Linked DNA regions of Arabidopsis thaliana. The protein of the gene in region 1 interacts with the protein of each later gene in a pairwise test. Each region holds a gene or a part of one and is shown in the gene's direction. Other genes may lie near its edges.

What was found.
Region 2: the proteins of AT1G52510 (region 1) and FMO GS-OX3 interact in a two-hybrid assay, tested with the Arabidopsis thaliana proteins (one large-scale study listed by BioGRID).

Annotation. Positions count from the first base shown.
Region 1 is NC_003070.9:19,560,969-19,567,136, reverse strand, and holds AT1G52510 (alpha/beta-Hydrolases superfamily protein), read left to right. Parts: upstream 1-1,864; 5' UTR 1,865-1,876; coding exon 1,877-2,155; exon of another isoform or gene 2,156-2,300; coding exon 2,301-2,376; intron 2,377-2,460; coding exon 2,461-2,546; intron 2,547-2,685; coding exon 2,686-2,779; intron 2,780-2,865; coding exon 2,866-2,942; intron 2,943-3,041; coding exon 3,042-3,169; intron 3,170-3,274; coding exon 3,275-3,346; exon of another isoform or gene 3,347-3,495; coding exon 3,496-3,566; exon of another isoform or gene 3,567-3,657; intron 3,658-3,683; coding exon 3,684-3,759; intron 3,760-3,839; coding exon 3,840-3,983; intron 3,984-4,023; exon of another isoform or gene 4,024-4,058; coding exon 4,059-4,098; 3' UTR 4,099-4,126; exon of another isoform or gene 4,127-4,281; coding exon of another isoform or gene 4,282-4,653; intron 4,654-4,755; coding exon of another isoform or gene 4,756-4,790; exon of another isoform or gene 4,791-4,881; coding exon of another isoform or gene 4,882-5,243; intron 5,244-5,340; 3' UTR 5,341-5,360; coding exon of another isoform or gene 5,361-5,450; 3' UTR 5,451-5,609; downstream 5,610-6,168. Other genes in the region: FRS6 (FAR1-related sequence 6), read right to left, coding at 1-970, 1,175-1,204; MMH-1 (MUTM homolog-1), read right to left, coding at 4,282-4,653, 4,756-4,790, 4,983-5,085, 5,373-5,450, 5,610-5,660, 5,872-5,997, 6,091-6,159.
Region 2 is NC_003070.9:23,157,862-23,163,409, forward strand, and holds FMO GS-OX3 (flavin-monooxygenase glucosinolate S-oxygenase 3), read left to right. Parts: upstream 1-1,872; 5' UTR 1,873-2,050; coding exon 2,051-2,597; intron 2,598-2,686; coding exon 2,687-2,757; intron 2,758-3,231; coding exon 3,232-3,387; intron 3,388-3,508; coding exon 3,509-3,591; intron 3,592-3,682; coding exon 3,683-3,818; intron 3,819-3,907; coding exon 3,908-4,081; coding exon of another isoform or gene 4,082-4,105; exon of another isoform or gene 4,106-4,468; coding exon 4,469-4,690; 3' UTR 4,691-5,020; downstream 5,021-5,548. UniProt on the Arabidopsis thaliana protein: Catalyzes the conversion of methylthioalkyl glucosinolates of any chain length into methylsulfinylalkyl glucosinolates. Prefers probably short-chain methylthioalkyl glucosinolates in cv. Landsberg erecta.

The DNA of each region.
Region 1 (6,168 bases):
CAAGAAAACCACAACTAAGCAATGTAGTTTTCCCATGGTGATTCACTCCGGTAAATGTCACCAGTGGAATCTCGAATTTTCCTGATATATAAGAACTGTCGATGAAGATGACATCGCCAAAGTAACTGCAGGAAACTTTAGAGAAAGCATCTGCCCAGAATACATTCCGTAGTTGACCTTCATCATTCACATCCATCAAGTAAAAAAAGTTTGGATTTGTCAATTGCATACGGCAAAAGTAGTTGTAAATGGCTGCAGAATCTCCTCTCTTAAGGTTCAGCAAATCAGGTGACCCAGTAGAATTCTGAAACTTCTTGTTAAGAGTCGAGTTTGGGTTCACATTGCTCCCATTATCCACCACACAAGCTCGGTACAGCTTAATCGTCTTAGCGTCTGAGACTGGACTAGATACACACTTCCTCTTCCTTTTAACCGATTTATATAACTTACAACCGAGTAAATGGTTATGATCAAGTGTAACTTCAACTACCCGCCACCTCTTAGAATCAACCTGTCTCATTCTTATCATAGCAGGACAACCAGTTCGAGTTTCCTTTCTAACACGATTCACATCGTTAATCCTCTTAAAACCTTGACTACTACAACAAAGCACCGCACCATACTTCTCTTTACTACGCCGCTTAAACCACGAATTCTTCACTCTTACACGAAACCCAACTTCACTAGCATAACAGTTATAATAGTTATAAGCATCATCATACGACTCAAACTCCATTCCAACCGCAGGTGCATCGAATTCTTTTCTCTCATCAACAAGTAAACCACTCTGTTCATCAAACCCTCCCATTGTTTCTTCTTCACTCTTTCTTTCTTCGTTTTGACAAAATCCAACATCAATCTCATGCTCACTACTACAAACTAGAGCTTCTTCTCCTATCCGTAAAGTATCTGACATTGGATCATCTCTTTCACGAACCTCGTCGTTCTCTAAATATGCAGATGCTTGGACCTGTAATAACAAAAAGCTATAAACTTTGATTCTAGCAAACCCTATTTACTCAATTGAGGCATCAAACTTGTGAAGGAGCTGAACAAAAATGATAATCAACCCAATGAAATCAAATGTAACATCATCACAACCCTTGTGCGAATCGATTCATAATCTTCACAAAATCCAGAATTGAAAAGAGGAGTTTTAGAGTTAAACACATACATCTTCATCAACGGACTCACTTCTCTCCATTGGAGGTTTGGTTCCTCTTCCTTCTTCAATTCGCGGGTAAATTTTGATGAAAGCACTTGACTTTATTCGATTGAAGGAGAACACTCGTGAAATTGATCGGTCCGGGATAGATCCGGACGGGTCTTACACGGAAAGATCCGACCCGAGAGTGATCTTGCGCGGGTATTGACCTTTGAAAGCGGTTAGGTAGTTTAACTTCTTCTTCTGACGGTGAGGTGGTCTTTTGGGGCTCGACTGGTGACTCTAGCATTTTCACCAACATAGAGACACCTTAGGCTTAGGGTTTTCACACACAGGTTCAAAGCACGTGCTGCAAACGTCGTCGTTCGCACTTAAACATATCATTTTTGTTTTTCCTTCACTTAAGACACTTAAACGACAATTACACTGAAACGGAGGGAATGCTATGAAATGAAATCCAAAATTGCATTACATAGATTCCCTGAAATGAAATCTATGAGTCTATGACATTAGTAAAACGCACAAACTTGTGAATGTGATATTTATGAGCTTATAAAACAGCATATATAAAAAAAAAATATATCAATTTCTAGATTTTACCCACAATCTTAATTTATGTCATCATTAACCACTAATTTTTCAATATTTTCTCTCTCTTTCGAGGCGCATATATAAATACAGGAAATACGCTTTTTTACTTACCAATCAAAAATGTCTTTGCTCTCTCCTCTTCCTCTGCTCCACTCATTCTCCTCCACCGTCGCCACAAAATCCACCGCCTCTAGAATCACTGCCACGCCGTCGAAAATCCGCTTCTCTGTCATAAACGCCACGTCGGAGAATGGAAACAGCGGTGGTAGTAAAAACGATCGTGATGAGGATCCATCTTTTAACCCATTTGGTTTCGTTACAGACAACCCGTCTAGCCGGAGTGCAATTCAGTTACCAGAGTCTCCGGCGGAAGACGGCAATGTCGGCCAAATGCTCTACGTAAATTTCACATATTTACTCAGTTCAATTTTGAACTGTGATTGAAATTGAAAAGATGCATGGTTCATATTTGCTTCTATTGATTTCAAATTCCATTTTTTATCATAGTGTTATATTTTTGTTGATTGTTATGTTGTGGGTTTAGAGGACTGAAGATAAAGGTAAAGAGTATGGCTCAACTATCAAATCTGGGAAGCTTAGATGGTTTGTGAGAGAGACTGGTAAAGACTTAAGTTTTGTGTTTGTTTTTTGGATTCAAGAAGAGTTTTTGATCACTGATTAAGCATTTTCCTATTTTCCGGTAGGATCAAAGGAGAGTCGTCGAGGAACCATTGTATTTGTTCATGGAGCTCCTACTCAGTCTTTTAGCTACAGAACTGTCATGTCTGAGGTGCTACACTGAATCTTGAATCATGTGTCTATATGGGAAACAATTGTTTCTAATGAAAGACTCTTATGATTTCCAATGAATCATGTGTATGTATATGAAGCTTGAGTGGATCTTTTGTGTGTTCCCAACAATGTAATAGTTGTCAGATGCTGGATTTCATTGCTTTGCACCTGACTGGATAGGATTCGGATTCAGTGACAAACCGCAGCCTGGATACGGTTTTAATTACACAGGTTCGTTGATGGTACATTTAATAGTTTGTGAACTGCAAAATCAGTGTACATGGTTCTTTGTTCTAATAAGTTTTAAATCTTCTCAGAAAAAGAGTACCATGAGGCGTTTGATAAACTGCTTGAAGTGCTAGAGGTCAAATCTCCTTTCTTTCTTGTTGTTCAGGTTCGGATGTGTGTTCTTATCCCATTTGTGTATAATATGTTAATAATTCATCAAGACTGAATATATATCTTATTTCTGCATTTGTTGTGGTCTCCCAAGGGATTTCTTGTAGGTTCATATGGTTTAACTTGGGCTTTGAAAAATCCAAGCAAGGTTGAGAAACTCGCGATCCTTAATAGTCCGCTGACCGTTTCATCCCCAGTTCCCGGATTATTTAAGCAGCTGAGGTTCAACTCTTTTGCCATTTTGACCACTCTAAATGCTTGCAATACTCTGTGAAAGCACCAATCTATTTGTATCTCTTGGCTTTCCTCATTTTTTTTCTGATGCAGGATTCCCCTGTTTGGTGAATTCACCTGCCAAAATGCTATCTTGGCCGAGCGGTTCATTGAAGGAGGTAGCCCGTATGTATCAAATTAACCATCATCTTCATTATAGAGATGAGACATTATATACTGGCTATTCTCCTAGCTCAGCCTCAAAATGCATGTGTTTGGTGATGTTGATAGAGGCTTCTACTGACAATTGTCTTACTCTATATCTGTTTTGATAGCTACGTCCTGAAGAATGAGAAAGCTGATGTGTATCGTCTACCATATTTGTCAAGCGGAGGGCCTGGCTTTGGTACGTCTCTAAACCAAATTCAATGAATGGAGCATGATACACACCTTACTCTTGATTCTTATGATGGTTTAATCTATTATCTAAGAGACTTCTCATCCTGAGATTCTGATGAATTAGCCTTGCTCGAGACTGCGAAGAAGATCAACTTTGGAGACACATTGAGTCAAATTGCAAATGGGTTTTCATCAGGCAGGTAAGTGCATTTCAACTTTTTACAAATTCACACGGCTACAGATAGGTCTTTTACTTTGCTGAGGTTTTGATCCTTCACAGCTGGGATAAACCTACGCTTCTGGCTTGGGGAATAGCTGATAAATATCTGCCTCAGTCTATAGCAGAGGAATTTGAGAAACAGAACCCCCAAAATGTTAAGCTTCGACTCATCGAAGGTGCTGGGCATTTGCCTCAAGAAGACTGGTATGAGAATACACATACTGTTCTGGTCTGCTTTGATTCTTATAAGACTCTCTGAATTTTGAACTTTGTATACAGGCCAGAGAAAGTAGTTGCTGCCCTCCGAGCATTTTTCTGACTTCCAAATACAACAAAAAAGGACAGAGGTAATCACAAAGCCTTGTAACAGCCTAAATAACTAATAATAGTAGAATATCACATAGCCTTGTAGGCATCCCACATTTCCAACATACTTTCTTACAAAAAAAATGGGATAACTGTTAGCTGCCCACAAAAACTATCATCTTGGAAACATAGGTTCTCAACTTTTTCTTCCTTTTGGCTTCTTACCAGCTTGGCTAGTAGCTTTCTCTTCAGACTTCCTCTTTATTGCAGGCTTTGTACCACGGCCTTTGGGTTTCACAACTTCTTCTTCAGCCTCGCTATCATCTCCATCATCGTCGCTCTCTTCTGTTTTTGTCTTCGATGCAGGCTTCTTACCACGACCACCTCTGGGTTTCTGTCCTTTCTTCGATTTAGCACTCTCATCTTCTTTCTCAGTTTCTTGTTCATCTTCTTCCCCATCTCCATCGTCTTCTTTGGGTTTCACACCTCGTTTAGCCGGTCTAACCTTGGCTGCTTTCTCTGCGTCTTTCCCATAAAGTTTCTGCAGTTCTGGAACATAAGCTGTTGTCTACAAAAGAAGAAAACCAGACACAGAAACATTAGTTCAGTTCACTACATGAACCAATCACCCACATTATAACAGTGCCTAACAATGCATACATATACTTACCCTTCCACCAGCAGTAATGAAATCAATCTTCTTCCCTGCAATAACCAAAACAGTATTCATTACCTACCACATAAATCAGATACATCACGATTCACTCTCATAACGTTTAAACCATTATTATGGGGATTAACAACTGCAGTTGGAAGTTGAGAGAACAACAGATCCAACAGTTTTATGAACTTTTGCAGGTAGATAAAGAGTTTGAGTGTGAAATGTGGGATTCAAACCATCAACAAAGGCCTTTCCTGGCTTCTTTTCCCTATTATGAAAAATCCAGTAACTAGGAAACTGACTACTGTCTGCATCAACTTCCACAGCTTTTTCTATCACCTGCAAAACCCCAAATTCTGCTTCATCAAATTTATAGATAGATGGTGGGAAAGCTTACCATTAACTTTCCCTGCTTTTTTCCCCCACCGAAAATGAAACAACCATTCAACAGGAAACTCTTTGCTATCAGCATTGACTTGAACTGCATGTTGAATGACCTACAAATGCGGGTTTTTTTTTTCTCTCTAAATCCCAATAAACAATGCATCATATGCATATATATTAACAGAGCCTTTGTAATCCCATGTTTTTTAGGTACTGTTTTGGTGGGGTGTTTAGAGTCTTACCTCTTTGATGGATGTGTGCAAAGCTTCACATTGCTCTTTGGAGAGGCTAGAAGCAGTCTGCAACGGGTGGATTCTGGCCTGCGAAAAAAATAAACTAGAATTAATCGTACAGCATGTAAACCCGTTTCTTCTGTCGTCAAATGTACAGAAAACAAAAGTGGATACTTTGTGAATCAAATGAGTGGTTACATAGATGCTTTACTTCATTTCAAATGTAAATGTGTAAAGATCACTTACTTGGTACAGCACTTCATCAGCGATCCAATTCCCAATACCTGAAATATATCCCTGCAAAAGGGAAGATATACATAATCATCTAAATGCGAGCTTTTTATATAAAGAAAAGGAACAAAACTTTGCCAAATAAAAGAAGATCATTTCTGCAGCATCTATAATGTCATATATAGCCAAGTTCTAGATATTGTGATAGAAGTGGTAAGGACAAGAAAGAGCTGAAAGATGCATAAAAGTGAGAGAAAATGAAATTTGATCTCTGAACCTGATCAAGTAGGAGAGGTTTTATGGTTATTTTCTTTTTAGCTAAGCTTTCTGCAAATTCATCAACTGTCATAGGCTCCAACAATGCATCAGGACCAAGCTCTGATATTGGACTCACAGAAGTAGGCTGCAATAGCAAACATAAATAAAACTATCACTAAGTATCCACAGAGAAGCTTAATAAAATAAAAAAAGCAACTTCAGAGTTATGCATTTATACATTTGCTAGAAGTCGAACTTTGGCAAATCTCCTCTTATCAGTAAATGAAAGCTCCAGACCATCATCAAGCTTTAAAAA
Region 2 (5,548 bases), 3.6 Mb from region 1:
ATTCAAAGTTTCTCTGCCACAACTTGAACTTGCTTTAGGTGCAACTGTGCAAGATCTACTAATCTCACGTCACGCCTCTACCCTCAAATCTTTGCAACTTCGGTTTTATAGATCTGCTTCTTTTTGTACGTTTCTTTGATTAGCTGATCTCCAAATTAACGAAATAAATGGTTCGGATTTGTTACTCCATTTACGGATTACTTGGCAAGAAAATCCTTAATTTTTCTTCGCTTCTTCCTCCTCTCATTTTTTTTTTCTTCACTTTGACAAGCAACTTATTACAGAGAAGATATCTACTTGTAACATGAATTTGACTTTGAAGTGTTTGCTAGCTCTGAGCCTCTGAGGTCCGTTAGTTCTTAGAGTCAGATCACATGATTGATAGATTCGGTGTCTCTTTCTGAGATTTCAGCATATATGTTTGATTCTGTCTTTTTATAGGTTGATAAATCGATTCATGACCCACTGGAATAATGAGAAGGCTTTTAGGTATGATTACGTTGAAAAAATCCCGCTTTCACTCTTTGAAAGATAGCTGAGCCGAGATGGCCAGATTAAAGGTCATGAAGTTCACTGTTTCAGACTATGAAGGGAGGTTAGGAGTTTCACAAGATAACTAGAGAAAATTCCAACTGCAACTTGTCTCAAGAAGGAAATGTAATTATAGATAAACGAAAGAAAGAACAGAGGAAAAGAACAGTGATGTTGGGTAGGAAAACAGGTGAATGACTTTCAACGTGCCTGAACTAAAATGAAAATTTTCCCCCATAAAATACATAGCATCGTACCAATTAACGTAACGATCCTTTCACCCTTTGTATTTCTGTGTCTAGTAGTTGAAGAAATGTTGGTTGAATTCAGTTTGGTTTCTCTATGGTCCATACGTAGAACATCAACTAAAATCATAAAGCTAATTAAGAATTGTGATATAGTGTGATCTAGCCTACGCATCTCTTGCATGTTTTGTGTAGGACGATTTAATTGTCTCTAAGAAAACACAACTCTCCTTTTAAAGACACCCATATATTTCTTTTAATTTATATATATTTGAATATATGCTCATTTAAAAACACTTATATAAATAATCAATGTGGATGCTCTCAAAGTTTTCTTGACAGATTTTGGTGCTAAATTTTTAAGGTACATTCCTGGATTTTTTTTCATTGTTTTCTATTTTGTAAATTGACTTATAGAGAACTTCTATTGATTTTTAAAAAAAAATCATAGCGCGAGTAAATGATAACGGTAACGATGAAATCTAATGAGTAATGAGAATGAATATGTATACATTGATTTTTGAATTTATTCGTAGTGCGAGTAAGTGATAACGGTAAGTCTGTAACGATGAAATCTAGTAATGATTAATGATTTCTCTTTCTTATATATATATATAAATGAAATCAGCGATGTGGAACTTTCGATGGATGTAATAGTAGCTTTCCAAGGATTGTCTTTTTTTTTTCTTGTCCACGAAAATATTAACTGTAGACAATTATTTGTTGTCCCATCTCCACCAAGATTCCTGCCTTGCAAATTCCACACGTGTTTTCACTTTCTTCACCAACCTACTGGATTTCACTAGTTTGTCTGTAAATTAACTTGCTTGTCTACGACAGCTAAATAAATAAGGAATCGTAAAAGACTAGATTTATTTAATAAAGAAGTTACGTTTATAACGAAAAAATATTTCTTAGCAAAATAAGATTATCTTGTGATGAAGTTTCATTTCAACAAACATAAGATGAACATGATAAAAAAAAAATCATAAGAATAAGAACACAAAAAGAAATGAAAAAGGACCTATTATTAAATAAATAAACTTTGACAAAAGCAATGCCCGGAGCTTAAAAGGTCACATAAAAATTGAAAAATTTCTAATCACTTACACGTCGTTCACCGAACACGTGGATTGGAATGAGTAATAAAATTCCATAACCATTAGATGAAATGTAACATCTGTAATCTTGCCATTAAAATATAGTATTTATATTTGGCCTGAAGCTGATGCAACTTATACACAAAACCTACTATTATTAAGATTTGACAAAATATGGCACCAGCTCAAAACCAAATCACTTCTAAACACGTGGCAGTGATCGGAGCCGGACCAGCCGGTCTCATAACGTCTAGGGAGCTCCGTCGTGAAGGTCACAGTGTAGTTGTGTTTGAACGGGAGAAACAAGTCGGTGGTCTATGGGTTTACACACCTAAATCCGATTCCGATCCACTTAGCCTTGACCCCACCCGATCCAAAGTCCACTCGAGCATCTACGAGTCTCTCCGAACCAATGTCCCGAGAGAAAGTATGGGTGTCAGGGACTTCCCGTTTTTGCCACGTTTCGATGACGAGTCAAGAGACGCGAGACGTTATCCAAATCATAGGGAAGTTCTTGCGTATATTCAAGACTTTGCTAGAGAGTTTAAAATAGAGGAGATGATCCGGTTCGAGACCGAGGTGGTTCGCGTTGAACCGGTTGACAACGGGAACTGGAGGGTCCAGTCGAAAAACTCCGGCGGGTTCTTGGAAGATGAGATCTATGACGCCGTCGTGGTTTGCAATGGTCACTATACAGAACCAAATATTGCTCATATTCCTGGTAAAAATATTAATTTATAAATACTCACCTTTTCTTTTAATAACAGTGTAAAAGTTAGTTGAGAATAACCAAAAAATGTGTATCCATAGGTATAAAATCGTGGCCAGGAAAGCAGATTCATAGCCACAACTATAGAGTTCCTGATCCATTCGAAAACGAGGTAATTTTTTTTTCCTTTGTAAAAGAAGGTAAAGCATATGGTCTAGGTTAAGAAAACTTTCTACATCATTGCGTCTATATGGAAGAACTCCATCTCTCAGTTCTTGGAAGTAAAGCATTGTTCGTATGCATTTAGAAATTTAAATTAGCTCTATCAGACGCTTGGGTGATAGGAGGTATGATGCAGCTTTTCAAGTTTGGCTTGCAGCCCAAGCTTGATTAACTCGCATCTAATTGTTCGGACTACAAAATTTTTGAAAAAATCTTTAAATTTTTCTCTCGATAAACCGTTCCGTCAGTTGTAAAAATGCTATTTTTTCTTTGAATATAATTTAACATTAGATTCAAAAAAAAGATAAAAAATTAGCTCTATTAAATTATTAATACGTAAACGTAACTGTAAGTTGGTCCACAAAATTATATATCATAATTAATTTCATTTACGATCTATATTATTGTATTGATATTTTGCTAGGTGGTGGTGGTGATAGGAAATTTTGCGAGTGGTGCCGATATTAGTAGGGACATAGCTAAGGTCGCAAAAGAAGTCCACATTGCGTCTAGAGCAAGGGAACCCCACACATACGAGAAGATTTCCGTTCCCCAAAACAATCTATGGATGCATTCCGAAGTAAAACTAAAAACTTTATTTAATCGAACAATGATTTGGATTATATGAACATTCACGCCATTTCATTTAAAACCAATTATAATGTTAAAAGTCTTTGATTTTCTCCTTTGATATGTCGTAGATCGACACCACCCATGAGGATGGGTCGATTGTTTTCAAAAACGGGAAGGTGATATTTGCTGATAGCATTGTGTATTGCACCGGGTATATCCATAGTTTTCAGTATTTATTGGCTCATATATAGCAAGATTTTTAATCTATTGACTGACCTAATGTTTTTGGTTTATGTGTGTAGGTACAAGTATAACTTCCCATTTCTTGAAACAAATGGCTATTTGCGCATTGATGAAAAACGTGTTGAACCTCTATACAAGCATGTCTTTCCACCAGCGCTTGCCCCTGGACTTGCTTTCGTTGGTTTGCCAGCAATGGTTAGTATCAATTGAACTTTTTCTCTTGGACTTTCGAGTTCACGTCTCACTTTATTAGTTTTGATCTGTGATTTTCTTTTTAAATTCAGGGGATAGTATTTGTTATGTTTGAAATCCAAAGCAAATGGGTGGCAGCAGTCTTGTCAGGACGAGTTACACTTCCCTCAACAGATAAGATGATGGAAGATATTAATGCGTGGTATGCGTCGCTTGATGCCTTAGGTATTCCCAAGAGACATACTCATACGATAGGTAGAATTCAGGTAAGTTCGTCATATTCCGAATAAAACTACATGTCCTATAAATATGTCAAAATAGTTTCAAACGTAGATTTCTAAAAAAAAAAAATCATGTGAAAAATATTAAAACAAAATTCACATGTTTTAATAATTAAAACTTTTTCATATCATCATAAAAAAAACCAAGTGCGCTTGAATTTCGGATTTACAATTACTAAATATAAATATTTTTAATTAATTGCTTAAAATATGGATTTTTTAAATACTTTGAATATAAAATTAAAATTACATGTAAACAAACAACCAAATGCATATACATATTCTTTTTGTTAAAGAATCATATGCATATTATCGACTCAAGAAGAGCATCATGTCAATAACTTTTTTAAGAAAACTTAATCTCTCTAACAGAGTGAGTACCTCAATTGGGTCGCGAAAGAATCTGGTTGTGAACTCGTAGAACGTTGGAGAGGTCAAGAAGTTGACGGCGGATACCTGAGACTTGTGGCCCATCCAGAAACTTACCGTGATGAATGGGACGACGATGAACTCATAGAAGAAGCGTACAATGATTTTTCTAGGAAGAAGTTGATTAGTGTTGATCCTTCTTATTACCTCGAAAATGGAAGATGATCTGCGCCAATAGTGCCGACTTGTTTTTCTTTTCTGGTAGGTGGGTTGATTCCAAGCCTTCAATAAATTGCAAAACTATTGTAAGCTTTACAATTTACAAAAAAAAAAAAAAAAAAAAAAATTGTAAGCTTTACAGAGGAGGGTTAAGCTATATTGTATGCCCTTGTTGTTTTAAATTATTTTTTACATTTCTGTTTGGCTTTTTGATCGTTTAGTTTTAAATATGTGCTTCCATTTGTATGTGATTTGCATTTTTGAGATTACGTTTATTTAGTGTTCCGACTAGTCATCTATCGTAGGGGAATTTTTTTAATATGAACGCGAAAATCGAGACTGTAGTAATTAATTTGCCATATTAATGGACCCTATACAACACAAAAATTATTGGACACAAAAATCTGGTTCTATTTATTTATTTTTGGAGGTTTTTATTTTATTTTCTCAACTCCCTGCTCTTGATTTCTTTTTACACCCTTTTTTTTTTCAAACAATAGTATTGGGTTCATTTTAGAAAAGGGAAAAACTGATATCCCATTCACGACTTTAAAGTTTAAACTCCCACTGAATCCATACCATTCGACTCACGATAAAGGAAGGTGTGGCCAATATCGGCTTTTTAGTTATTCTTGGTGCGGTTAGTGGTGTAACAAACCGTATATTTGACTTTTTGGACTATTATATGTGACCTTTATTTTGACTAATGTCTCTTTTTTGGTCGAACACTAATTTCATATATATGTCTCTTTTTACACCGTTTTATAGATCTCTATTCTAATTACCAAATGGTTAGAAGATGCAGATGTGGATTAAAAGTGATTCTCTTGTAGTATGTTGTTATAAACTTATACTCACTCTTCT